4 linked regions of the Saccharomyces cerevisiae S288C genome follow. The protein of the gene in region 4 interacts with the protein of the main gene of each other region in a biochemical or structural test. Each region holds a gene or a part of one and is shown on either strand. Other genes may lie near its edges.

What was found.
Region 1: the proteins of HHT2 (region 4) and SPP1 form a complex in vitro, tested with the Saccharomyces cerevisiae proteins (3 studies listed by BioGRID, with this or other methods).
Region 2: the proteins of HHT2 (region 4) and SIR3 form a complex in vitro, tested with the Saccharomyces cerevisiae proteins (6 studies listed by BioGRID, with this or other methods).
Region 3: of the proteins of HHT2 (region 4) and SET1, one has a biochemical effect on the other in vitro, tested with the Saccharomyces cerevisiae proteins (4 studies listed by BioGRID).

Annotation. Positions count from the first base shown.
Region 1 is NC_001148.4:288,736-296,372, forward strand, and holds SPP1 (Spp1p), read right to left. Parts: upstream 3,693-7,637; coding exon 2,631-3,692; downstream 1-2,630. Other genes in the region: putative mitogen-activated protein kinase kinase MKK2, read right to left, coding at 1-299; UME1 (Ume1p), read right to left, coding at 934-2,316; protein phosphatase regulator GIP3, read right to left, coding at 4,082-7,637. UniProt on the Saccharomyces cerevisiae protein: Component of the Set1C/COMPASS complex that specifically mono-, di- and trimethylates histone H3 to form H3K4me1/2/3, which subsequently plays a role in telomere length maintenance and transcription elongation regulation.
Region 2 is NC_001144.5:1,017,888-1,026,173, forward strand, and holds SIR3 (chromatin-silencing protein SIR3), read right to left. Parts: upstream 4,365-8,286; coding exon 1,428-4,364; downstream 1-1,427. Other genes in the region: 40S ribosomal protein eS1 RPS1A, read right to left, coding at 254-1,021; ECM7 (Ecm7p), read left to right, coding at 4,738-6,084; GMC2 (Gmc2p), read left to right, coding at 6,302-6,685, 6,768-6,950; NGK1 (hexokinase), read left to right, coding at 7,327-8,286.
Region 3 is NC_001140.6:342,939-349,785, forward strand, and holds SET1 (histone methyltransferase SET1), read left to right. Parts: upstream 1-3,104; coding exon 3,105-6,347; downstream 6,348-6,847. Other genes in the region: protein channel TOM71, read left to right, coding at 1-1,330; ORC6 (origin recognition complex subunit 6), read right to left, coding at 1,383-2,690; mismatch repair ATPase MSH1, read left to right, coding at 6,636-6,847. UniProt on the Saccharomyces cerevisiae protein: Catalytic component of the COMPASS (Set1C) complex that specifically mono-, di- and trimethylates histone H3 to form H3K4me1/2/3.
Region 4 is NC_001146.8:575,140-581,061, forward strand, and holds HHT2 (histone H3), read right to left. Parts: upstream 912-5,922; coding exon 501-911; downstream 1-500. Other genes in the region: putative tyrosine protein phosphatase SIW14, read left to right, coding at 1-212; HHF2 (histone H4), read left to right, coding at 1,588-1,899; KTR5 (putative mannosyltransferase), read right to left, coding at 2,066-3,634; DNA-binding transcription factor CRZ1, read left to right, coding at 4,441-5,922. UniProt on the Saccharomyces cerevisiae protein: Core component of nucleosome. Nucleosomes wrap and compact DNA into chromatin, limiting DNA accessibility to the cellular machineries which require DNA as a template.

The sequences.
Region 1 (7,637 bases), on a different chromosome or scaffold from region 4:
TTTTTTTGCGTTAGTACTAGGGGAGGTAATGGAGGTGGTACCGGTCTATTTTTAATAGTTGTAGTAGATGATCTATTGTACAACAAAGTGGAATTTGAAGCCATGGATGACGTAGTGGAAGTAGCTGAAGTGCTATTGTTGGAGTATGGGCTTTCGTTCACTGACGAGTACGGTGACCGGTTGAGATGTTGCCCATCATTAGTGGATTTCGCATTTTGAACTAAATTTACTGGAAGCGTTAATTTTGGAGTCTTTTGGTGACTCCTATTGGATTCTGGTGGTCTGAACATTGAAGCCATTATCCTGTGTATATAATTGGTATTTTGTAGATATGATAACAGTGCCTGCTATGCTAATCAGGTAATACTTGCTACTAGTAAAATGTCTAATTTTTTGAGCGAACGAATTTCATGCAAATTAGAAGGTAGCCAACATATAAATATATGAATATATATGTGCCTACGTGTTTGATGAGGTTTTCAGTAAAATTAAGCGGAAAGTATTGAGCTTTCCCAACTGATCCCTTTGATTTATTCTCTTTCTAATTCTTCAACTCTAAGGATAAAGTTTATTTCTTTTTGATTTTTTTTCGCATTGAGAAAGTGAACATAAACAAGGGTAAAATAGGCTCAATATCAGTTCACCTTTGAGAGTCTGGCAATAAGAGATGTGGTTCTAAGGTTACCTTATACATTCTAAACTCTGAAAACGCGTTTTCAAAGGTATGTACATTTCTCTATATTAAAGAGTAGATCCTTGCCGTTTATATATACATGTAGAGCAATTCTCAAGCTAATAATTAATGTTTACTTCAGACAATAAAACATTAAAAACAAATTTTTAGAAAAACAAAAGCTGAAGTAAAGACTAAATATTACACAATTTATTCATACATTTCCGCCCCAAACTCAAACAGCCTAAATAATATAAAAATTAACTTTTGGCAGCTCCAACCTCTCTACTGCCATCTAAAACTTTTCCAGTAAACGGCTTATATACAGTTAACAACCCGTCACTATCAACTGTAGCAACTAGATCCTCAATGTATTTGTGATAAGCAACGGTATTAACCTTATTATTTTCTCCTATTTCTCTTCTGCAGCCCTCAGTGTGATAAAATGCCATGCTTTCGGCCTCCAATTCGTCAGATATTATGCCTTGAAAGTCCTCATGTATCTCGTTATAAATGGCAAAAACAGGTTCGAAATTCCAGTGGTAAACATTACCTAACCCTCCAATTGTAACCACTTCCATAGGCGAAATGGAAGAAAACTCTATTTTGGACACTTGCTCGCTATAAAAGTGATGAACTTTGAATAGTTCATTGACTTTATTATGTCCTTGGTTGATATTTAACTCAGCATCAGCATCCCCTAAAGCGATAACTGCACGTATATCCCAAACCTTGAGAGCCCCACCACTAGTTCCCGTCATAAATAATGTATCAACAAACGGTGATGCAGCAAAACAAGTTGTTTTGCCGTCCAAAGAATCGTTTAGAATCCAAAGGGGCTTTTTGCCTATCTCATTACCCCAAAACCTTATGATACCGTCATCAGAACAAGTGGCGAATATTTGATTATTCAAAAACTTGATTTCTTGAATATTCTTTATGCCAGGAACAGGTATTGTACGAAGCACTTCTCCTATTTTACCTGAGTTGTCTATCAATTTTATTGTAGCGTTTTCATTATCAAGATGTTTTTCCTTAGTTACTGTTAAGGTTTTTGAATCGTTAGAAATTGCAAAATCAACACAGGGTTTATTTTGATTTCCGGACGATGCTGAACTTAGAGAAGTGGATGGCTCCATCATTGTGTAAACGGGCGATTTGACACCTTCTCTGAACCATGCCAAAGAACCATTGGTAGAAAGGGCTATCACCTTTACATTTATTTCGCTGTTATCCACGTAAATCATCTTTGCAATCGTTTCACCTTTAAATTCCCATTTTGGAATCAAAACAGTCTGCTCCACCTTTTGAGATTCCATGGTATAATCCGGTTGTACTAACGGTTCTGAAATGCTTTCAGGTTTTTTGTAATGAAGTCCGAGTGGCACTATACAATCCACCTCAAAGATTTCACTCCCTTGAGAATATAAAAGTGGTACGCTCAAAACACCTTTGGATTTATTACATGAGCTATCGTTAGTGAAAACTATACTCCTAAGTGTCGATGGAGATTCGTCAACGCCTGAGCCAAAGATAGGCTTCAAACTTGAAATATGTTGGTATAATGAGGGTATTGATTTTTTCCAAATTTTGAATTCTTCATTTTTTATTTTGTTGTCTTCTGCAATATCTAAAGTGCTCATTTTAAGTGATTAAAGAAGGAAATAAATACGATACTGAAGGTATGCGGCTGAGGAGTGGTGCTTTTTCATTCATTCGATCATGAATATACAAAGTATTGCTTGAAAAAATCAATATGCGCTTATTAAAATTTCGCAGCAAAATCGGCCGAACCCTTGCAAAACAGAGATAGCTCCGCTTTATTCACGTGAAATGGGGTCGAAATTGAAGACTATCCAAATAGGCGTTGCCTATGCAAGGACGCTCCAATTGATATATCATCACTACGAAGTATATATATATGTAGAAACTGATATTTGATTAGGCTCCAACGCCGTTACAAACCTCTTCTTAAAATTTCCTCATAGTATTGTATATTTAGTTGCTTTTTCCTGGCCTGTATCAGATGTTGCAACCTTTCTTGCATAGATTCTAAAGAGTCAATCTGCTGGAGGTATTGTTCCTGATTAGTAGACACCCAATCCAAATGTCTGTTACACTTCCACTTCGTGCATACCTCATGTATTTTGGTGGCTTCCTCATTACTTCCAAAATCTCTGACAAATTCTTCCACAGAGCAGGGTATTCGCTCGTATGTAGAACAATAGCCACATATATTTTTCCTAGCCCTACTCCTGCTGCTATTTTTCTTCTTCTTCCTTTTTGTCCCCTTGGAATCTTCTTTACCACATTCCACATGGCTTGCAGCATCATCGTCCAGCTTGCGCATTTCGGTATATACGTTGTCTAACCATCCCAAATATACTTCCAAAAGTTCTAGCTTTTTTTTGAATAATGGTAGCGATATCTCTTGAACCTCTTGCAGATCATCTTCAAGAGTTTTTAACGTCATGTCTCGTACAACAATTTGATCGAATATTTCCTTTTCGTCATCTGTTTTTACAACTATATTGTTATCAATGAAATCCAGTTGTCCAAATTTCTTGAATTTATCTATGTGTCCTGTTTGTTCGACCATTTTCTTGACGACTGCTCTATCCTCATCTGTTTTCAATCGCGACCAAATATCATTCACAAATTCTCTACCATGTTCCTCAGAACAGTATTTACTATCCTGTAAACATGGTTTGTAGCAATCACTTATCCTACATTTTCTTTTCCATAAGGTTTTTGGCAAGCTCCCTTCACCATTGATTATGGCGTCCTTATTCTTACCAGTAATCCCCGCTTGACAGTAAGGACAATAAAAAGAGAACACCAGGTCCTTAAACTGCTCAGGAATATGAAGGCAGGTGAAATGAAACCAGTCATCACAACCATCACATCCCACCATCAGCTCCCCATAGTCTGGCCTTTTACATATGCAGTATACGTCCTCTCCTGTAGTTGGATTTCTTTTTAAGGTGGAATGCGGTGGACACCATTGTGGTAATGACATTAGAAAGATAGGCTGAGAAATTATTGAGGTCGAAGTAGCCTTTTCCAAATCTCTTGTTTTTTTTCTTCTGATGAGCTTCGTTTACATTTAAAAGTAAGCATTTACAAAGCCCAATTGAAATTGTTCATATTTTACCCGCCTTGGGTTATATGCAGTGTCTAATATGTAGCCGAACATATCAATTGATTCTAAAGAGGTAAGCTTAATCCTCTGTGCTTTAATTCATCTTAAAAAGTTTATCTGTTAAGTCTATCGAATATCGCCAAATTTACTGGCGGTATATATAAATAAATATGGAAAATATGAAAGGTTGATAAAAAAAGTTTTATGCAGTGAAAAAAAGGAAGAAGAAAATGGATCCATCAGTGAAGAGAAGGATTCATGTATCTTCAAAGTCTGATTGACCTCTCCATCGACAAATTATTTAATAGTTTGTCATAGGTAGCAGTGACTTTGACTTCACAATTTGGGTCGTCAGTTGAGACTGCAGGCAATGTTTCTACGGATCCTTTATCGGTATTGGGCGCAGATACATCAGAATCCACGCCTGGTGTAAATGTCGAAGCGCTATTCTGAATGGATTCACCATAAATGTTCTCCAATTCTATGTTGTTGGAGTTAACGTTCTGAATCAAATCATCGATAGAATCAATACCTTTAGCCTTCATGATTGCCGATCTTAAGACAGCACCGGATGGAATTTTTGGTAAAATCTTAGGATTAGCTGGGCTAAATAAACTAGTGGTAGCAGTTTCATTGTTAGAAGTTGAAACTGAAGGAGATGAAGTTGACTTACCAGCTGTTTCTGTGTTGATAGGCGTATCACCTGATGCAAAAGGTGTCTGCCTTGTTGATTCATTTTCAGGGTATAAAGACCTCTGCTGCTGAACGAAGAAACCCCATTTATGTAGTTCACCTTCTTCTTCTTCCTGCTTTTTACAACCTACAGAAGTACTAGATGATGTATGCTTGAACACCAATGGTTTGCCTGTGAAAACGTCAATAGTTTTACCAGAATCGGTGGCCATTAAATGTGGTCTTGCTGTAATTACATCATTCTCAGGTTGTATTTTTTCTTCGGGAACATGGTATCCGGATTCAACGTGCTTCAATGCTGGTAATTTTGAATCTTCGCTGGAGTCAACACTTTCCTTCGAATCATCCCTGCTGGATCCAAGGACATCATTCAGATTCGGATTATGCGAAAACAATTCTAGTATATTGCATAAGTTTTGTTCCAAAAGGAGTAATCTTACAAGGTTTTCTTTTTCTTGCAATGGCAATTCACCTGATTTCCTTTTTTCGAACATAGTATCTATTGTATGCTGAACATTATGGTGCAAGATATGGAACTTTTCAATATATTTTTTCAGCAAATATCTCTTCGTGGTGTCTTTTTTGACCTTTGTACTCTTATCGCTTAACAAGTTCAGTTTTTCTAAAACACTTTCAGCGGTCATAGTTACTAAAGAGCCATCGAATAGCAAATCATCTTGCGAATCCAATTCATCTAACTGGAAAGTCGAATCCATGGTCCGTTTCATATTTCTCATCAAGCACAGTGCTATTCTTGATTGAATCTCTTCTGATATCAAATCATAGTCAAAATCTAAACCAATCAAGTTTGGAGAGTCTCTAGCAAATGCGTAAAGTGTGGATGAAAAACTATTTTTAGCAAATTGGCCCTTAACGTCCAATGTGCTCGAACTATCCAAGTCGCCGTCTGTGTTAGTTTGTTGAACGGGAGAATCTGTGCCGTTCATTAGATAGAAGTTTTCAACGTTTTGATTAGTCATTGACACATGCGAGAGCGATTTGCACTTAATCAAAATATTACAAACGACAGCTAGTTCCTTTAATGTCAAATTATTGCTATCCAAATGTATCCTCTTCAGGTTCGGAAATCTTGGTAAATACTTGTACATGTAGGGTAAAATGTCAGGAAAGCATTGCGACAAATTACTCAAATCCAAAAAAATCAAGTTAGGCAACTTAGAAAGATATTTCAAGAGCAAAGCTAAATCATAAGAAGTCGAAATATTAGTGCTGTTCAAAATGAAATATCTTAAGTTATCATATGATAGAGCAGATAGTTTACCAACCATTGGCTTAATCATAGTGGACAGATCATTAAACGCTAGATCCACACCCTGGACGTTATATTGAGACATCCAATTGAAGATAAATTTCAGACAATCCTGAGAGATATTGGAAGTAGTGGCACCTGCTAAACCAAGCCTGATGCCCGATTCTGGAAAGTTTTTTTGGGTAGCAAAGGATGTCAGTAAACGTGCAAAGCATGAGTAAGGAATTTTGCTAAATTGAATACCATTGAATAACAATTCTTCTATAGGTTTGTGAGATCTCTGAGACAAGACGTCAGTAAACAAGTTCCAATCCATGTTATGGCGATATAGTGATTCAGCAAGGTCAGATTTGATTTTCGTTTGGGAAATGTCGAGCTTGTTCAGTGATTTGTTTAGCAAAAGGAACTTACATAGTAATTTCCATCCATCTTGGTCGATTCGTACATTTCTTAAACTCAATTTGTCCAAAACTGTGGAGTTTACCAAAGCAGAAATAATTATTCTGAACATATCCTGGTTTAAAGCTACATTGTCGAAAACAATCGTGTGAATGGGAGCAATGGTGATGAAATCACAAAAGGAAAGAATATCGATCAAGGTAGGCTTAGGGTTCAAAAACTTCAATATTTGCAAGGGAGCTGTCTTGTCCTTTACTTGTCTTAGGGTAGACGGAATGGGTAAAATTTCCCTTAAATGGCAGCATCTTGTGTAAATAACATCCAGCGTAACTTCGTTATTTTCAATAGAATGACCGTCTTGGTACTTATCTTGATCAGGTTCCTTGAAATAGTGCTCATGCATATGAATGGGCTTATCAATGCCGGCTTTTGAGAGGTTTTCTGCAAGTTTATTATTCTCAAGCTCCCGATCAGCTTCAACATTTGGAGGTGACACCTCTTCTCTTTGCTTCGTAATGGTGCCTTCTGATGACTTTTCAGTAAGCTTACCGCCTGCATCCGAAGCAGTCTTAAAATTGGCTACTTCAAAGGCTATTCTATTAGCAGCAAAATGAGCTTCTTGCTGATGCTTAGCAGCCTCCCTTAAAGCCAACTTTTGATTTTCCAGGGCGAGTATATATTCTTTAGACTTCTTAGTGTACAACGGTCCCTTAATGTTGGAATTGGTTGACTTGGCCGATTGGTTGCTACTGGAAATACCCACGGAAATAGAAGGAACCTCGCTTATCATGTCATCAGGGATAAGGATGTTTCCCTTTTTTGGGGTTCTTGAAGGAAGTTGTTGGGGAGGATCGGATTCGAATTTATCGACGGCAAACGAGACCCTTTTCAATGAAACTGTAGATAGGTCTTTTACTGCAAGTGCAGGGGAGGGGAGTATAGGTGTCTGTGGCTTGCTAGCTGTTGGTGCCACTCCTCTCATTGGTGATGATATCTCCTTCACCCGTGGATCAGGAGTCGCAACTGCTTTAATGCCACCAGACTCATTCTCAGTCGTGCTAGTATTAACAACAGGTAATGGTTTCTTGGCAGTGGAAGCTGAAGAAGAGGTAGACCGTTTGCTAAACAAAGATCCAAAAATCGACCTTTTAGTCTTTTCTCCACTAGTCGAGTTGCTTCTCTTGAGAGTAGCATTAGATGGTGAAGAAATTGGCGGGTGCTTTCCCTTGCCAACAGAAGAAGATGCGGTGGCGTTTATGGCAGAACTGGCCAGTCTTGGTTTGGACGAGACCACAGCATTGGATATAGAAGTGGAACGTTTTTTCCTTACAAATTGAGTACTTGAGCCGTTGTCATCATTATCTATAAGGTCTATGGCGTCTACGGTAGCCGGATTATCAATGTCAGCGGAATCGCTCCGGTTACCGCTATTAATAGGAGTAAGTAGCGGTATGTTATCA
Region 2 (8,286 bases), on a different chromosome or scaffold from region 4:
ATACCTATTTGAAACGAAAGGAAGATCGTTCATGTTGCTATATATGTTCTTAAAAATGATTTAAAATTATACAAATATTGTATACAGTAGTATAGTTATAGAATTATCTTTTTGACGAGGTTAATGACATCATAGAATAGAGAGTTATTAAAGAGACTAAAAAAATTAAAATCGAAAAAGAAAGATTTAAAAAATAAGATATGCATCACTCCTTTTTCCTGTTCCTTTCCTTTCTATTTTATTATTGGTTCCTTTACACAGTTTCCAAGACTTCGTCCTTGAAACCGGTAACCTTCTTACCCTTTTCTTCACCAGAACCTTCACCGTGCAAAGCCATCAAAGCACCGACATCGAACTTTGGTTGTTTCAACAACTTAACCTTTCTAACATGGATGTTTTGTAGTGGGAAAATGTCCTTGGTGGCGTTTTCAATTTCCTTGTTGATAACTTCTGGAATCAACTTGGAGGTCAATTGGGCCAAGGTAGATCCTTGAACTTCCTTAGTCAAGATTTCGGAAATAACCTTTCTGATAGCTCTGATATGGGAAGATTGAGCGTAAGAGTGTCTCTTAACTTGGTTAGCTTGCTTTCTGGTGAAGGCGATAGCAAAGATTCTCAAAACGTAATCATCAGAAGTCTTAACAGTAACGTTAGCTTCGATCAAAGTTTGCCACTTTCTAACCATGGATCTCAATTTATCAGTAGTGAAGTCCATACCGTGGAAGTTGGTCAATAAATTCTTACCTTGGACTTCGTCAACTCTTAATTTGATTTTTCTGAAAGAGTGGTCTTCAGAACCCTGTAAGTCAGCCAAGCAAACTTCGACAACTCTACCTTTCAAAGCATCTGAAGCACTCTTCAAACCAGTGGACTTGTTAACTAAAGTCTTACCAACATTTCTGTTTTCAAAAGTGGATGGAGCTTTAATGTCGAACCATTCCTTTCTGGTAAATGGGTCAACGACTCTCTTCTTTTGACCTTTCTTACCCTTGGATAGTCTCTTATTCTTTCCGACAGCCATGATTAAACGATTGGTTATTCGTGTGCTTGTTTTGTTTCCTTAATATTAAAGTTCACAACGTGAACACCTTCCTTTCTTAATAGAATAGTTGTGACATCTAGTCATTTTGGGTATATTATCGCGCAGGTGAGAGAGTCCTGGAATTTCCAGCGGATGGTGACGCGAGGCATCCGTAGTGCACAATAAAAAGTTAGTTTTTCATTAACCGAAAAAAAAAAAAAAATAAAATATATTAATGTTTGGGTTTCAACGTTTCCGTGGGTCTGGGTCCACAACAGAAAACTGTCCTGAAGTTTGATTAGGTTTTAGTAAGTAAACAGTTATGGTTACATTATTAAGGAATACAGAAGAGACTGCATGTGTACATAGGCATATCTATGGCGGAAGTGAAAATGAATGTTGGTGGTCAAATGCAGTCCATATTTTTGAATTCTTCATCCATCGAAAAGGCGTAATTTATTTCTAAAGGAAGTTTTAGTTCTACCATAATGCTTGCACTGGGCTCCTCGAGCACCACAACAACTAATTTTTCTCCCACTAAATCATTCACTACACTTATCCAAGAAAATTGCTTTAGTTTCTCTATAGTTATTGCGGGCTCCCAGGCACCGCATATGACCTTCTTAATTTCTTTTGACGCCTTGTACCCTGGGTTGTCCCGCAACATCTTCACCATCTTAATCAGGACGGTCTCCAGAGCAAGCGTATGACGATTCGTGCCTTCGGTTTCTTGCGCCAGGGTATATAAAAATGTTCTCATCAACAGAGACATTCCTATAATCTTCTTTGAAATAGTTTCATCCTTGAATCCGTTAATAGCTTCTGAGAAATAGCGTGGTACCATCTCCTGTGACACTACCAATTTACCCTTTTGTAGACCACCTTTCCGTACGAAGTCTTTTTTAGAAATTTCTACGGCAGCTTCACATATTTTGAATGCTTTTTCAGTACTACCACTTACGTTGGCTACGTTCTTTGCAATAAGTTGAGTGATTTTGTTGTTGATCTTATGATTGATTACTATCACATTATCTGGTATTTTCTGGTTCTGTCCTTCGCGAATATTATTGTAAATAGTCATTTCCTTCTTATCATTTACTTTGACATGAAAAGGTTTCAATAAAGATTTGAGTCGCGTGATGATCATTTGTTGCAATTCATTCTTGTCCACCTTATTAAGTTTGATTTCGGTAAAGTGTGCTTTGAGGGAGGGCATTATATTTATTTGCTCTCTAATCGTCACATTATGTCCGCCAACGCAAATGATAGACAATTTTGAATTTTTCGAAGAAATCCATTTCTCGAAATATTGTAAAATCTTCTCACTCAATAGATTTTCCGGATTTTGTATTAATATTAGTGTCTTTCTCTTTTTTGCTTTCGGGACATTTGTAATATAGAAGTTTAAGGCCTCTAGTGATATATCACCGCATAGATTTTCTTTAGAAATGGCGAACCATATTTTCTCATATAATGCATCCATTCCTGCCAGTTCCAAGGCATCAATATGAATGTAATCGAAAATAGGTAGTTCCTTTCGGGCCGAAGAGGTGATCAACTCATCCATTACATCATTCACAAGCTGGAATTTAGTAGAATCATCTGCATTGGTAATATAAAATAGTTTATTTTGGGAAGACATCAAACTGTCGTAAATCGGAAGGAATATTCTTGTAAAATCCTCCACTTGTGATTTTAGTAGTTCTCTCTTTTGTAAAGATTCTCTAATTGATTCCTCTAAATTTATATCAGCGTTAAAATTTGACAGAATGGTTTCTCTTCCAGATGAAGAGCATGCTTTTCTAAACTTATCCTCAAGGCCTGCAACGTCCAAGCTTGACTGTTCGTCTGTTAATTTGTTCAATTGGGAGGAATCTGTTACTTGATTATCTGGTGCAAACCGGTCTAAAATTATCTGATATTTTTTTTTCAACTTTGACAAAGTAGCGAAATCAATCATCTTTGCATTACCTTTTTCTGGTGTAGGATTTTCGTTCATACTATGAATTTTGGTGTTGCCCCTGGGAATTCCAGGTTTTCCATTTCCGTTCATTTCGTTATCTGTTTCTGTAGTGTAATTTTTAGAAAATTCTTGTGTTTCTTGAATGTGGATTTTTCTAATTTTACTGCTCAATTCGCTTCCGTGAGCGCCACGTCTTTTATTTACTGGTATTATTGCTTCATCAGAACTTTCTGAACTAACTTCATCTGTTTCCTCTTCAAGCCCACCATCATCACTCACTTCTGGATTATTTGCATATACAAAATTCTCTCGGCCGTCAACGAGTTCTGTAGATGTCTTCTCTGGCTTTGACCCAGGTTTACTTGAAAGCACAGATGTTTCATTGTTTGGCTCATAATCGGATTCCTGTTCTGAAGAGTTTATTGGTATTTCCTCTGAAACAATTAGTTCCTTTGATATAGATCTTTTTTGTAAAATTTTCGAAGAATCTGTAGGTGATGTGAGCGCAGAAGGGGACGCCGATGAGATGTTAGGGGAAACAGACTCTTCTTGGGGAGAAATTGAACCATGAGTTGTTGACGTTCCTCGCTGAGACGGTATATTTCCATTATTTACGTCATCATCTGCAGAGGGCTCGATTTTAATTTTTTTCATTGAAGGTTTCTTTGCTAGTCTTTTTGAAGATCTTTCAACTCCCATCTTATGCATCACCTGTCTATTTGTCTTCTGCCCACTCACTGGTACAGATACTCTTTTCAAGTATTCATCAGATTGTTTGGGTTCCATTTCCTTTACTCTTCTTATGATTTGAAAAATATCAATTGGTACAAACTTTTCCGCAGTAGGTTCGCATGCATAACGTACTAGAAAATCTCTATCCTCTATTTTATCGATACTACTATCATTCCATTGTGACTCTGGCAGTATCTGTCCAACTGCAATGAAATCCTTAAGCCAAATCTCTGATAGCTCAGCAGTTAAATATAACTCGCTCTTATTTACTTCGTTGAAAAATTTATCTTTGTAAAATTCTAAAGGATGATCTTCCTTTATTAGATCTGGCCTGAATTGTTCGTAGTACAGTTTTGGTTTGAGTTCAAACCATCTCAAGTAAGAAAAAACCCAAATCTCCACAACATTATTAAGTGTATTGAGTCTGATCTCATGGATCAAGTAGACAGAATATGTTTCCGTCACATTATCATTAAATATCACGCTCTCACCCTTCCCAAAACTCAATCCATCAGAAATTCTTTTCAGAAATACGTTTTCTCCTCCTCTTTTTCTTGATCTTCTTCTATTGTTGTCGTCAATAACCCTCCCCTGATCATCTGTAATGATAACTTGCCAACCGTCCAAATCTTTCAATGTTTTAGCCATTTTAGCTAATCCAATTGTTAGAACAAAACAACTTTCTTAAACCCCTGTAAGGAAGGTGATGAAAGGGCTGCTTATGTGTTTTTCTTTTTCATACTATGTTCATTTTAACTTTTTTGGAAAGAATAGCGTTTTCGCGGTCATATTACTGATGCGATGAAAATTTACAATTATTTCTTTATTTAGATTGATACATAATATGGTTAACTTTAAATACATCTTTTGGACGCCGCATAAACAAACGTCCCGAATACTTTGTTCCCCTGGATTCGTTGTTTGCTTAACACTGTCAACTCTCTACTTAGTTTCATTTACACCATTTCTTTGTGTATCAGTCATTGCGAATACCCTTGCATATCTAATGGATCGAAAATAAATGGTGATGTCAAGAATACGAGATACAATAGCCAGGCCATTCCAGAACCTTACAGCCCTTGAGAAAGTGGTACAGTGGCTAAGATTAGGGACGACATTACTCATAATCTCTTTCGGGTTGGCGTTGACTGTCGGACCCCTTTCTTCGCCAAGAACATTGTACATGTCACGACTGGATACTTACTCTGCTGATATTACGACGGGTTTATTTACCGTGTTGAGAGAGTCTATGGAGCAGTCGACATCTACAGAAGAAAATAACGGTGTAGGCTTAACAACATCCGAACTGTATATATTGACTGCTTACACCGAAAGTCAGATAAAGAATGTTCCTCAGTACATCACAGTGTCGCTTTATGGGAGGTGCGATTCAACATATACCATGGTGGAAGTATTCGACTCTGAAGGAAATATGCATAGCGTAAAGAATTCGACTACTAAGAGTACCTGCAGTAGCATAGGAACGGACTATCTTTTTGATTATCGTGAGGTTTTAGAAAGCTTGGGTTTAGATATCATTTTAGATTATGCATACAACAAAATCGGTTCACAACAGGCAGAAAGTTCTGCATACACGACCTACATGAGGAGTTTAAAACATAAAAAGGCCAACGTGTTACATTTACTCTATGCAGTTATTAGTTTCCAGGTGTGTATGTTATTTTTCATGATATGGTACTACTACATAAAGGGAAGGTTTATGAACGCCCTCAAAGAAAGGGCACTTGTTCATATCAACTCTCTACTATCGCTAGTTGTTTTCATTGGGGGCCTGATAAGTAGCATAAGCCTTGCCTGGGTTAACTACACTATTCAGTCTAGAATTAATACAGAATTAGAGGCCTTCGGGTTTTCTTACCATCTTGGAGTTACATGGTTTGCGCTTCTGTGGTGTTTTGCAGGTTTGATTTCTGTGTCATGCTTAGCTTGGTCTGGCTTAGAATGGTGTATTTCCGATAATGGCACGTCCTATGGAGGTGGAATCGATGATAAATTCTTAGGCTACCAAGCCGGTGTATTTACTGATGCAGATCTAGACGATGAAACTTCTTACAGTCAACGTTATCCGCAACGACAGTCTACTTCGGGCGAGGCTGAACTGATGAGAAACAGTGATACTATGGCAACAATAAGAAAAACATCTGATGTTGACTTAAATAGTGAAAATGATGCTAACACCAGTTTAGACCATGGAAATCCCACCGCAAATATAAGCAATGGCGGCAAACACGAACCATTTGCTACTAGAGAGGAATTCGAATTGCAGGACATAAGATTCCGGTCAAGCAACGACAGTGAAGAAAGTATGCAAAGGGTTATCAAGCCTTCGTCAGCATTACAGTTTTGAATTCTTTCACCCATCATTCAAAATGCATATGCATACTATATTTGTCTAGTTTTTAATTATATAATAATAATAACAGAAACAAAAAATCGCATTCATCGTTTAATCTTATTTTTCTTTTTTCACCTTTTTCTTGTGAAATTGCCAAGCGCTTAAAAAATCGTTATTTCAGAACTAAACATCATTAAGCAACGAAGAAGAGAAAAGCGGAACTATAACCATGAGTGATACTACGGAAGTCCCTAGGCAATCATCTGAGAACGACCAGGATAATAACTTGGAAAGAACCAACTCATTAAAAAGTCCGGACGTGACCAACAATATACCAAGTCTTTTCAAATTAGCCGCCGAATGGCAAATCAACAATCCACAGGAAACCTTCCAAAACCATATCCTGGAAAATGATGTACTCAAGAAAATTAATGAAATCACTCATTTGATCCGGGAATCGTACAAAGACCTCTCCAGTCAAGATGGGATGATGTCCAAACAACAACAGGAAAAGATGGATTGGGATTTGTTTTGTACTGTTCCTGTAAACATTATTGAGCAATATACAAAAGACATGGACGAAATATATGAAAAAATGGAAAGGCTAGCAAAAGTAAGTATAGGTCGAAACTAGGCATCCTGTGCCATCTCAATTTTACTACGTTCTTTTACTAATAATGCAAATTTAATAACAGCAACAACGTCTTTGGTGTGAATCCGCTTTTCAAATAGACGTGGAAAGATGTGGTGACTCCATTCTCAATGCTGAAACGTGGATGAAGAAGAAAGAGCGCCATTTAGAGTACAAAAATATTGAAATGGAAAGATCCGCAAATGAAATTAAGGAAACTATTCAAAGACTAACAGATGATAGATGAGCCATACTCAAATATATCTGCGATATTGCTAATGTTAGCTATTTCTCACATTTGCTTTTTTTGATTTTATTTATTTACTTTTACGACAACTGGCCTTATCACTCGGCTCTCTAAAAGAAGTCATGTTCCCTTCGTTGGGTTAATTTTTTTTTTTTTTTTTTTTGTTTATATGTTTTTTTTTTTTTTGCCAGGTATTGTTAGCGCCAGATAGCAAAAAATTTTATTCAGGGATACTGAACACCGGGGAAGTTAACTGAGTATATCGGTTATCATTATAAACACAAGAATGTAAGCCAGAAAGAAAAATAAACGTCCACCCCTCGAACTTTCACATATAAGCAAGTAAAGAAAAAGTTAACAAAAGGAGGTTCAGAACATGACAATTGAAAGCACTCTAGCTCGGGAATTAGAAAGCTTGATTTTACCCGCTGATTCCATAGTGAATGTAGTTGACCAATTCCAAGAGGAGTTGTTATCACGGCTTCAGACAAATACGATTTCTATGCTCCCGCAGTGTTTAGTCCCAGATAAACGATCGCGATGGAACCCTGAAGACAAAATTCTGACCATTGATTTCGGCGGGACAAGACTGAAATTTGCAATTATCTCTCTGCCCCAAATCGTTATCGAATACAATGATGCCTTCGAACTTACCTACAACATCGTTGATTCGAATTTCTTTAATCAAATCATCTATACAATATGTACCAGGCTGGCTGCAAATGGTTATATAAAAAAAAAGAACGAGTCATCTGAGGCGTCTAAATTTTTTGTTTCCGTGACATTCAGTTTTCCTCTAAATCCAGAAGGGGAGGTAGTTGCAATGGGAAAAGGATTTGTGATGACTGACACCCTTCAAGGATCCACGGTGAAACAGCTCATCCAATCTTCCTTTCACCGGATTATATCAGAAAATATCGAAGAATTTTTCTGTACCATGAACGTGTGTCATGTAATAAACGATGCAATTGCAGTTTCACTAACAAGCAAATTTATATGCGAAAACGATTCCATCTCATTAATAATAGGAACTGGTACAAATGCATGTTTTGAGGTTCCATACGGATATTTACCACCTTTCAAGAGAGATGCCCTGAGAGAAACATTACCGTCAAGCTATAATAAGGAGACATTAAATTTCAAACATGTTCTCATTAATTCTGAAATTGGCTTTATTGGTAAAAATGTCATTGCATTGCAACCGTTTGACATTCATGGAGCAATCTCATACGAAATGCCACTAGAGTGCGTTACTTCTGGTAAATGGCTTCCCCTATCATTAAAAAATATTCTATTGCAATATAACATAATCCCCAAAAACTTCCCAGTAGAGTTC
Region 3 (6,847 bases), on a different chromosome or scaffold from region 4:
CTTGCTGAGACGTGCATCTGCCAACGAGTCACTGGGCAACTTCACTGATGCTATGTTTGATCTATCTGTTTTGTCATTGAATGGTGACTTTGATGGAGCCTCCATTGAACCTATGCTGGAAAGAAATTTAAATAAGCAAGCAATGAAAGTACTAAATGAAAACCTATCGAAGGATGAAGGCAGAGGCTCGCAGGTTTTGCCGTCTAACACATCTCTGGCGTCATTTTTTGGGATTTTTGACTCTCACTTAGAAGTTTCTAGTGTGAACACCAGTTCAAACTACGATACTGCATACGCTCTATTGTCAGATGCTTTGCAAAGACTATATTCTGCAACAGATGAAGGTTACTTAGTAGCAAACGATCTTTTAACAAAGTCCACTGACATGTACCACTCTCTACTTTCTGCAAATACAGTGGACGATCCTTTAAGAGAGAATGCTGCCTTGGCATTGTGCTACACGGGTATTTTCCATTTCTTAAAAAATAACCTGTTAGATGCCCAAGTTCTTTTACAAGAATCTATAAACCTGCATCCAACACCAAATTCGTACATATTTTTGGCATTGACCTTGGCCGATAAAGAAAACTCTCAAGAATTTTTCAAATTTTTCCAAAAAGCTGTTGATCTAAACCCTGAGTATCCGCCAACCTATTACCACCGTGGGCAGATGTATTTTATTCTACAAGATTATAAAAATGCCAAGGAAGATTTCCAAAAGGCCCAAAGCTTGAACCCTGAAAATGTTTATCCCTACATTCAATTAGCCTGTTTGTTGTACAAGCAAGGTAAATTTACCGAATCTGAAGCTTTTTTCAATGAAACAAAGTTGAAGTTTCCTACCTTACCTGAGGTGCCCACCTTTTTCGCTGAAATCTTGACAGATAGGGGCGATTTTGATACTGCAATTAAACAATATGATATTGCTAAAAGGTTGGAAGAAGTGCAAGAAAAAATACATGTGGGTATAGGACCCTTGATTGGGAAAGCAACTATATTAGCTAGACAATCCTCTCAAGATCCAACCCAGTTGGATGAAGAGAAATTCAACGCAGCCATTAAGCTGCTGACAAAAGCCTGTGAATTAGATCCACGATCTGAACAAGCGAAGATCGGGTTAGCACAACTAAAATTACAAATGGAAAAAATTGACGAGGCCATAGAATTGTTTGAAGATTCTGCAATTTTAGCAAGAACTATGGATGAAAAACTTCAAGCTACTACCTTCGCGGAAGCTGCAAAGATACAAAAGCGTTTGAGGGCTGATCCAATCATAAGTGCAAAGATGGAGCTAACATTAGCTCGTTATAGGGCTAAAGGCATGCTTTAGAAGATATGTCAGGTATTGGTCAAATATATACTTTTAGTTAATACTGGATATGTTATAAAGGTTCTGTTAATGCCAAATCCATTTCAATTCTTTTCTTCCAAATATTGTACTGGTCGTCTGTGACCAAAATATTGGTGGTTTGTAACATCGATCCCAGTTTCCTAAATATAATTTCATCGTATCTGATGCCATCAAAATCATCATACCTAATTTGCAAATCTCTGAACCATTTTTCACCGATAATTAATTCCTTCACTAATTTTACACATTCAATAACATCATCCACTTTTGACGTCAACATCAAGCTGCACATCTTACTGACTATAAAATGGTCAATTCTTGGATCCTTGCGTCTTCTTTCATTAAATACAATGAATGTACAATTTAATACTAACCCACACACTAATTGCCATGGGCAAACCAATCTTGACGCGTTTATGTTGTACTCATCCACAATTTTATATGCTACTTCTCTTGGTAATTCAAAATCGTTGCAAAGCCGTATTATTTCTTCAGTAGTCATTTTGCAATACTTCTTTACTAACAAAGAATTTGGTATTCTGCCCCTTTTCCTCAGGGCTTTTGCCGTCTTCAATTCTGATTGCGGTTTTCCAACTGCCTTATTTTGTTTCGTTCTCCCGCTTCTGCTTTCTTGCACACCTAATGGCTCTTCCTCACTTGTAGGGTCACTTTCATGGTTTTCATACTCATCAGAATCTACATTTCTGGTTCCAGTAATGCTCTTATTACTATGGCTTTTTAAAGACAAACCGTCGTTTCCTGGTTCCTCTTCATCCTCATCCTCATCCTCTTCAAATGCTAACTTTCTCCTAGTAATAGACGGCGATTCATTGGTTTGCATGGGGGGTAGTTCTGGTATTACGAACGAATCATTATTTTGGCTTTTCCTAACTTTAGTTGGTGTACCAAACAGTTGATTCCTCAACTCTTTCGGATCAGAAGAAGTAAACCTCCCACCGTTCTTTACTGGACTGCGTTTGTTCTTTTTGGGGCTCGGTGTCCAAGCAAATTGTTTCATAGGTGAAGAATTAGATAAACTTTGTCTGAAAAGGTTCATTAAATGCTTGGCTTTTTTCGGCTCCAAGGGAATACTGTCTATATAATAGCAAAGGTCAGGCATGTGTTTTTCATTCATTTTCTGTGACGCTATGTATGCACATATGTGACATCTAGCAACCTCTTCATCTTGTTTCAGCATTACCTTGTTCAGTGAAGTATTATATAAAATCGATGTCGCATTAGTCAACTTCTTCAAATATCCGCTCGACCAGTCCGGTTTTTCTTGTGGATCTAGTCGAAGTACTTCTGCGACACAATGTTGGACTTGTTGCATGGACATGACTGGTTTTAATGGTATTGTTTTGGCCAATTTTATTTACTGATATTGTACACTTTTTTCTGCAATTTTAGTGTGAGATTTTTTTTTTCAATGCCGATTTCTTACTAACGTAAACAACGGCAAAGAACAAAGAAATACACAGTTTTATCACAAAGAGTTGATTTTTGCTGAAGAGAAGCGTGAGGAGTGTATTCGAAAGCCTTGCATATTCTGGACACTTGCGATTCTAGCTCTTTACGGACGCCCGCATTCTTTTTTCATACTCTGTTTCGTGCTGCTTTCACACAATATTTTTCAAAAGTTTCTTCTCATCGTTTTTCTGTTAGCAACCCTCAACTTACGAGAGAGTTGCGACTAGCATAGGTAACATTCCTTATTTGTTGAATCTTTATAAGAGGTCTCTGCGTTTAGAGAATGTCAAATTACTATAGAAGAGCACACGCGTCTTCTGGTTCATACAGACAACCCCAGGAACAGCCTCAATATTCGCGTTCTGGTCACTATCAGTATTCAAACGGCCATTCTCACCAACAATATTCTAGTCAATATAATCAACGTCGACGTTATAACCATAATGATGGTACAAGGCGACGCTATAATGACGATCGCCCACATAGTTCAAACAATGCAAGTACGCGACAGTACTATGCTACTAACAACAGCCAAAGCGGCCCATATGTAAATAAGAAATCTGACATCAGTAGTCGGAGGGGCATGTCTCAATCACGGTATTCAAATAGCAATGTTCACAATACATTAGCGTCTTCGAGTGGATCTCTTCCCACAGAATCTGCTCTGCTTTTGCAACAAAGACCACCTTCAGTTTTGAGATACAACACAGATAATTTGAAGTCTAAGTTTCATTATTTTGATCCCATAAAAGGCGAGTTCTTCAATAAGGATAAGATGCTTTCGTGGAAGGCTACAGATAAAGAATTTTCTGAAACAGGTTATTACGTAGTCAAAGAGTTACAAGATGGACAGTTTAAGTTCAAAATAAAACACAGACATCCGGAGATAAAAGCATCCGACCCACGTAATGAAAACGGTATCATGACTAGCGGAAAAGTGGCAACCCACAGAAAATGCAGGAACTCACTAATTCTATTGCCTCGCATATCTTATGACAGGTACTCCTTAGGGCCTCCCCCTTCATGTGAAATAGTTGTCTATCCAGCGCAAGATTCAACAACAACCAATATCCAAGACATATCAATAAAAAACTATTTTAAAAAGTATGGAGAAATTTCTCATTTTGAAGCATTTAATGATCCTAATAGCGCTTTACCTTTGCATGTTTATCTTATAAAGTATGCCAGTTCTGATGGAAAAATTAATGATGCAGCAAAAGCAGCCTTTAGTGCCGTTAGAAAGCACGAATCTTCGGGTTGCTTTATCATGGGCTTCAAGTTCGAAGTGATTTTAAACAAGCATTCCATTTTGAATAATATCATTTCTAAATTTGTTGAAATAAATGTCAAAAAGCTACAGAAGTTACAAGAGAACCTGAAGAAGGCTAAAGAGAAAGAAGCAGAAAACGAAAAAGCAAAGGAATTACAGGGCAAAGATATTACCTTGCCCAAGGAACCTAAGGTAGACACATTATCTCATTCGTCCGGAAGTGAAAAAAGAATTCCATATGATCTCTTGGGGGTAGTTAATAACAGACCTGTTTTACATGTCTCCAAAATATTTGTTGCCAAACATAGGTTCTGCGTTGAGGACTTTAAATACAAGTTAAGGGGATACAGATGTGCGAAATTTATTGATCATCCAACTGGTATCTATATTATTTTTAATGACATTGCCCATGCGCAAACATGTTCGAATGCAGAGTCAGGAAATTTAACAATAATGTCTCGGAGCAGAAGAATTCCTATTCTAATAAAGTTTCATCTCATTCTCCCTAGGTTCCAAAACAGAACTAGATTCAATAAATCTAGCTCATCTTCAAATTCTACAAATGTACCTATAAAATACGAGTCCAAAGAGGAGTTCATTGAAGCTACAGCAAAACAAATATTAAAAGATTTGGAAAAGACTTTACATGTTGATATTAAGAAGAGATTGATTGGTCCTACGGTATTTGATGCTTTGGACCATGCAAATTTTCCTGAATTGTTAGCTAAAAGAGAACTAAAGGAGAAAGAGAAGAGACAACAGATTGCATCTAAAATTGCTGAAGATGAATTGAAACGTAAAGAAGAAGCCAAAAGAGATTTTGATTTGTTTGGTTTATATGGTGGCTATGCAAAATCTAATAAAAGAAATTTAAAAAGGCATAATTCACTCGCGTTGGATCATACTTCTTTAAAGAGGAAAAAGCTATCCAATGGTATCAAACCAATGGCACATTTACTGAACGAAGAAACCGATTCCAAAGAAACTACCCCATTGAACGATGAAGGGATCACTCGCGTATCAAAAGAACATGATGAAGAAGACGAAAATATGACATCTTCATCTTCTGAAGAAGAGGAAGAAGAAGCTCCAGATAAGAAATTCAAGAGTGAGTCTGAGCCAACCACCCCCGAATCTGATCACCTTCATGGTATTAAGCCGTTAGTACCCGATCAAAATGGGTCGTCTGACGTACTGGATGCTTCTTCGATGTATAAACCTACTGCTACCGAAATTCCCGAACCTGTATATCCACCTGAGGAATATGACTTGAAATATAGTCAGACTTTATCTTCTATGGATTTGCAGAATGCTATCAAAGATGAGGAAGATATGCTAATTTTAAAGCAGTTATTGAGCACATATACTCCTACCGTCACACCAGAAACAAGCGCAGCTCTGGAATATAAAATTTGGCAATCTCGCCGAAAAGTTCTTGAAGAAGAGAAGGCTTCCGATTGGCAAATAGAGCTTAATGGAACTTTATTTGATAGTGAACTACAACCAGGTAGCTCTTTTAAAGCTGAAGGGTTCAGGAAAATTGCGGATAAATTAAAAATTAATTACCTACCCCATCGTCGCAGAGTTCACCAACCTTTAAATACGGTGAATATTCACAATGAAAGGAATGAGTACACACCTGAACTTTGTCAAAGAGAAGAATCCTCGAATAAAGAACCTTCAGACTCAGTTCCTCAAGAAGTTTCATCCTCTAGAGATAATAGGGCATCAAATAGAAGATTTCAGCAGGACATAGAGGCACAGAAAGCCGCAATTGGTACGGAATCTGAGCTGCTATCACTAAATCAATTAAATAAAAGAAAAAAGCCAGTTATGTTCGCTCGTTCAGCAATTCACAACTGGGGTTTATATGCTCTAGACTCTATCGCAGCAAAGGAAATGATTATCGAGTACGTTGGTGAAAGGATCAGGCAACCTGTAGCAGAAATGAGAGAGAAAAGATATCTGAAAAATGGGATTGGATCCAGTTACCTTTTTAGGGTTGATGAAAACACGGTTATTGATGCCACCAAGAAAGGTGGTATAGCCCGTTTCATTAATCATTGTTGTGATCCAAATTGTACGGCAAAGATTATAAAGGTTGGCGGGAGAAGGAGAATTGTTATCTATGCACTGCGTGATATCGCGGCAAGCGAAGAGTTGACATATGATTACAAATTTGAGAGAGAAAAGGATGACGAGGAAAGACTTCCTTGTTTATGTGGAGCACCTAATTGTAAAGGTTTCTTGAACTGACGATGATACATTGATTTGTTTGGAGCTTCCTGATTTAACATATCGTTGCTTTCCAGCAAAAGGTAAAGATAAATACTAAACTGTATACATCTATAAGTAATCTCGGCCATTATTTTAACGATTAGTACTTTTGTTCGTGTCATTTTTTTGGAAAATTTTGCGATCTCTCACTGTTGAAGAATAAAGATTTCGCGATGACTTTTGCTTGCAGAGAAATGCCTGAAAACACGAACATTCAATAATATAGATGGTACATAACATATGCGCAAGAAAACGTAAAGGCCACGGATGAAGCATTTCTTTAGGCTACCGACAGCATTCCGGCCCATTTCTAGGGTTTCCTTACGATATTCTAGTACTGATACCGCTCAACCAAAAATATCAAAACTCAAAATTAGTTTTAATAAAATTTCTGAATCAAATAGCGAAAAAAAAGATAATTTGGGTTCAATTGACACACGAAATTGTCTTTCGACTCAGCAAGATGACAAACTATCAAG
Region 4 (5,922 bases):
TACATTGTAATAGAGGCAAACATAGAACGGGGTGTTTGATTGGTTGTATAAGAAAACTACAAAATTGGTCGCTAACGATGATTTTTGATGAGTACAGACGTTTCGCATTTCCGAAGGCCAGGGCGCTTGATCAGCAGTTCATCGAGATGTATGACGATGACGAAATTAAGAGGATTGCTAGTAAAAACAACTGGTTGCCTCTACAATGGTAATATGTAGACAGTGATTACCTTTACGTAACTAGTCTCTTCGAAAATGATGTTTATTGATAATTATTATACATGGTTTCTTGCCGGTTATAAAATTACGTATACTATCTAAGCATCTAAAAATTAGCCCCGCAATTATGTCTGTAAACGATAAATTACAGCATATATACCCTCCTCATGTCGTTAAAAGCATTGCGAATAGATAGATGAATAATGTATTAAAAAAGGAGATGTTTGTATGATGTCCCCCCAGTCTAAATGCATAGAAAAAAAAAAATTCCCGCTTTATATTCATGATCTTTCACCTCTTAGTCTTCTGGCCAATTTGATATCCTTCTTTTGGATAGTAACACGCTTAGCGTGAATAGCAGCCAGATTAGTGTCTTCAAACAAAGAGACTAAGTATGCTTCGACGGATTCTTGCAAAGCACCGATAGCAGAAGATTGAAATCTCAAGTCGGTCTTGAAATCTTGAGCGATTTCTCTGACCAATCTTTGGAAAGGTAACTTTCTGATCAACAGTTCAGTAGATTTTTGGAATCTTCTAATTTCTCTCAAGGCAACAGTACCTGGCTTATATCTGTGAGGCTTCTTAACACCACCGGTAGATGGGGCGGATTTTCTGGCAGCCTTGGAGGCTAATTGTTTTCTTGGGGCTTTACCACCAGTGGATTTTCTAGCTGTTTGTTTAGTTCTGGCCATTGTGGAGTGTTTGCTTGGATCCTTTAGTAAAAGGGGAAGAACAGTTGGAAGGGCCAAAGTGGAAGTCACAAAACAGTGGTCCTATATAAAAGAACAAGAAAAAGATTATTTATATACAACTGCGGTCACAAGAAGCAACGCGAGAGAGCACAACACGCTGTTATCACGCAAACTATGTTTTGACACCGAGCCATAGCCGTGATTGTGCGTCACATTGGGCGATAATGAACGCTAAATGACCAACTCCCATCCGTAGGAGCCCCTTAGGGCGTGCCAATAGTTTCACGCGCTTAATGCGAAGTGCTCGGAACGGACAACTGTGGTCGTTTGGCACCGGGAAAGTGGTACTAGACCGAGAGTTTCGCATTTGTATGGCAGGACGTTCTGGGAGCTTCGCGTCTCAAGCTTTTTCGGGCGCGAAATGCAGACCAGACCAGAACAAAACAACTGACAAGAAGGCGTTTAATTTAATATGTTGTTCACTCGCGCCTGGGCTGTTGTTATTCGGCTAGATACATACGTGTTTGTGCGTATGTAGTTATATCATATATAAGTATATTAGGATGAGGCGGTGAAAGAGATTTTTTTTTTTTCGCTTAATTTATTCTTTTCTCTATCTTTTTTCCTACATCTTGTTCAAAAGAGTAGCAAAAACAACAATCAATACAATAAAATAATGTCCGGTAGAGGTAAAGGTGGTAAAGGTCTAGGAAAAGGTGGTGCCAAGCGTCACAGAAAGATTCTAAGAGATAACATTCAAGGTATCACTAAGCCAGCTATCAGAAGATTAGCTAGAAGAGGTGGTGTCAAGCGTATTTCTGGTTTGATCTACGAAGAAGTCAGAGCCGTCTTGAAATCCTTCTTGGAATCCGTCATCAGGGACTCTGTTACTTACACTGAACACGCCAAGAGAAAGACTGTTACTTCTTTGGATGTTGTTTATGCTTTGAAGAGACAAGGTAGAACCTTATATGGTTTCGGTGGTTAAACAATCGGTGGTTAAACAATCGGTGTTTGAAATTATTTTCATGCCTTTCAAAAAATAAAATAACGATCATTCTATTGGGAATATAATAGAACCTTATGTATGCATTTTTCGGTTTTTTATTATTTCATGTACTATATATATTAAAAATAAGTCTCAATAAAAGAAACTAGTTTCCGAACTGTCTTAGATAGTCTTCCCTTATGTGCTCCTCCATTTCATTGCCGTTGAGTGCTTCGACGTGGCGTTCGTGTCCCCTCTGTTGGTTAAGCAGATTTACCCAAATATTTACGCAGAAACCCATGGAATCCTCAATTTCACGCTTTTTCTTGGGACATCTGCACCTGCAGCCACACCCAAATTCCCTTCCCTCGTCGTAGGCCGCGTTTTTACGTTTGAATTTTGAGTCACTGGCTAAGTAGGAGAATTCCTCATTCCCCATGGCATTATGTGGACAATGCTGTATTGTGGAGTGTCTATATCCGATGTCTCTAAAATAGTGTACATCGTCCAAATCCAGAGTTAGCGACAATCCAATAGAGTGAACAGGAGCGTCCCCCCATCTTTCCTTCCAAAATCCACCACTTTTCTCCAAATATTGAAAAAAACTGTTGTAAATGTCATTGTCGAACACGCTTAGCCGCGCAATCTCAAAATTACTCCAGAAATGGCATAGATTGTACTCTTCATTGAAAAATTTGTCTTCTACGATATGCTTCCTAGAGCGAGCCTTATGTATCAAATTCATTATTCCCTCTTTGTCATCATTTATCTGTTGGAAATCATCACCCTTTTTCAAAAGCTGCTCGATGGCTATCTTTTCGGATATCTTAGCCTTGGCCTGAAAATCATAGTTGATCCAGTCCCGTAACTCCGGATCATCGGATTCAAAAATGTCGTAATCCTTTGTAAATAGTTTCCATAATGACCCAAGCGTAACGCCTTTTTGACTGATAAAGCTTTTAGTGTGTCTAAACAAATTTGGGACTGTCCAATACAATTCGGGGATGATGATCGTAAATCCATATTTCTTATTAGTTCGGAGCATCTCCAAAAAGGGATCGTAGGTAATATCACAGAAAAACTCAACATCGGGTTCCAATCTCCAATACCATTCGTACTTCTGTACTAGCGGGTGCTTGTAAAATAATCCTGAATAAAACCGGCACATCTTATGATATGATTCTAAGTTTCCGTAAAGTATGCTTCTATCACCTTGATCCTCAATTGCGTTGTAGAACTCGAACGTATCCTTTACGTCACTGGGAAAATTCCAAGATATCTCATCGATAGTGCCAAATTCCACCAGCGCGCCCACTGTAACATCACGTACTTTTGCTTTGAAGTCCTCTTCAAACGGCTGGTCATTTAAGAACACATATGGATAGTGGAACCACTGATTGAAATGCTCTTCTATACTGTTGATAGTCTTGATAACATCTTCTAGCTCCCCGTTCCTTGTTAGCATGACAAACGAGGCATTCTGCTTGATGTACGATGGATTCAACAAATAGTCCTGAGTATTCACACAATTCGAATAAAAGGGTCTGTCCCTCTTCGTCGCAAGATCCATCTTGGAAAACGGAAGAAAATTTCCCATAGTTCCGTCTACGGATGCAGGCTCAGATACAAGTACCACATACATGGTTATGACGAAGGCAATCAGGATGCACGTCGCCGTAAGATTGCAATGGATACATCCCAGAAATGCATTTATCGTCCTTCTTATTAGCAACATCTGCTACCTTATGACGATGTGCCGTATTGAGACACATTTATTGATGACACCTCCATTGAACAAGACTATTTGTGCACGGAAGCACTCATATCTACTACTTCGCATTTTTTTGAAGACCCTTTCTCGAATGCCTGCCCAAATTTTTCAATTTTCTTGGCATCATCCACACACCGCATGCTTAAAGTGTACTATCCAAAAAATGAGAGAAAAAGCAAATACCTAAAAGCACCCCACCTCTTCCATATCCCACGTAATGGCAATTGGCATATATGCTCGGCAAGGGAAATTACTGGTCGTAATATAGTGCAACATGCAACTTGCCAGGCGCACTATAGTCACATCTTATTATGTTAGCAGTTGAGCTCCAGCTTTGACTGCACTTTAGCTTAGTTGCAACTTCGCCCCTCTGTTGGGGGCTGAAAAGTACATCCGCGCATTTAACAATTGCTAAGCTATCTTGAATAACATTATACTAATTAATATCTATAGAAGCAGAATGTCTACTACGTCGAGGACCCTACCCCTGTATTTGTGCCTTGCATGAGCGAGCTATATATCAGCGATACGTTTTTTTGTTTTCCTTTCGACCTTCTTGCCTACCCTCTCACTTTTCCCACCTGAATTTTTTTTATCATATTAGTCCGATATTGAGTTTATAAACCTTGTGAAGTGCTAGATAAAGTACAATCAAAAGAGCAGGCAATAGCCATCACAGCAGTTTAGTACGATTATACACTCTGAACGCGAGTAAAACTAGGTTGTATTTTTAGTCTCGATTGGAAGTTTCGTCAGACAGTACAAGGAAGATGTCATTCAGCAACGGAAATATGGCTTCCTACATGACTAGTAGTAATGGAGAGGAGCAAAGTATAAACAACAAAAACGATATAGACGATAACAGCGCTTACAGACGTAATAATTTCAGGAATAGTAGCAATTCAGGATCACATACGTTCCAATTATCGGACTTGGACTTAGATGTGGATATGAGGATGGATTCCGCCAATTCATCGGAGAAAATATCAAAGAACCTTTCCTCTGGCATCCCGGACTCATTTGATTCTAACGTGAACAGCTTGCTGTCTCCGTCAAGCGGTTCTTATTCTGCAGATTTGAATTACCAAAGTCTATACAAACCAGATCTTCCACAGCAACAGTTACAACAGCAACAGTTACAACAGCAACAGCAACAGCAACAGCAACAACAACAGCAACAGCAGAAGCAAACACCAACTTTAAAAGTCGAACAATCTGATACATTTCAGTGGGACGATATCTTAACACCTGCTGATAATCAACATCGGCCATCCCTCACAAACCAGTTTTTATCTCCAAGATCTAATTACGATGGTACCACTAGGAGCTCGGGCATTGACTCCAATTATAGCGATACAGAATCAAACTATCATACGCCTTATTTGTATCCACAGGACTTAGTTTCTTCACCTGCGATGTCTCACTTAACCGCGAATAACGATGATTTTGACGATCTTTTGAGCGTCGCATCTATGAACTCAAATTATTTACTGCCCGTAAATTCACATGGTTATAAACATATTTCAAACCTTGATGAGTTGGATGACTTGCTATCTTTAACATATTCAGACAATAACCTTTTATCAGCATCAAACAACAGTGATTTCAACAACAGTAATAACGGAATTATTAATACCGCTGACACTCAAAACAGTACCATTGCCATTAATAAAAGTAAAGTCGGTACTAACCAAAAGATGTTATTGACTATTCCAACTTCTTCCACACCTTCTCCTTCCACTCATGCTGCCCCGGTAACACCCATCATTTCTATACAGGAATTCAATGAGGGACACTTCCCAGTTAAAAACGAAGATGACGGAACGTTACAACTAAAAGTTCGGGATAACGAAAGTTATAGCGCTACTAACAATAACAATCTACTTCGTCCAGATGATAATGATTACAACAACGAAGCTCTCAGTGATATTGACCGCTCCTTCGAAGATATCATTAACGGTCGAAAATTGAAACTTAAAAAATCAAGAAGAAGATCTTCTCAAACTTCCAATAATAGTTTCACTAGCAGGAGATCCTCGAGATCAAGAAGCATATCTCCCGATGAAAAAGCTAAATCTATAAGTGCAAATAGGGAAAAGTTATTGGAGATGGCAGATCTTTTACCATCCAGTGAAAATGACAATAATCGGGAGCGCTATGACAATGATAGCAAAACTAGCTATAACACCATTAACAGTAGCAATTTTAATGAGGATAATAATAATAACAATTTGTTAACAAGTAAACCAAAA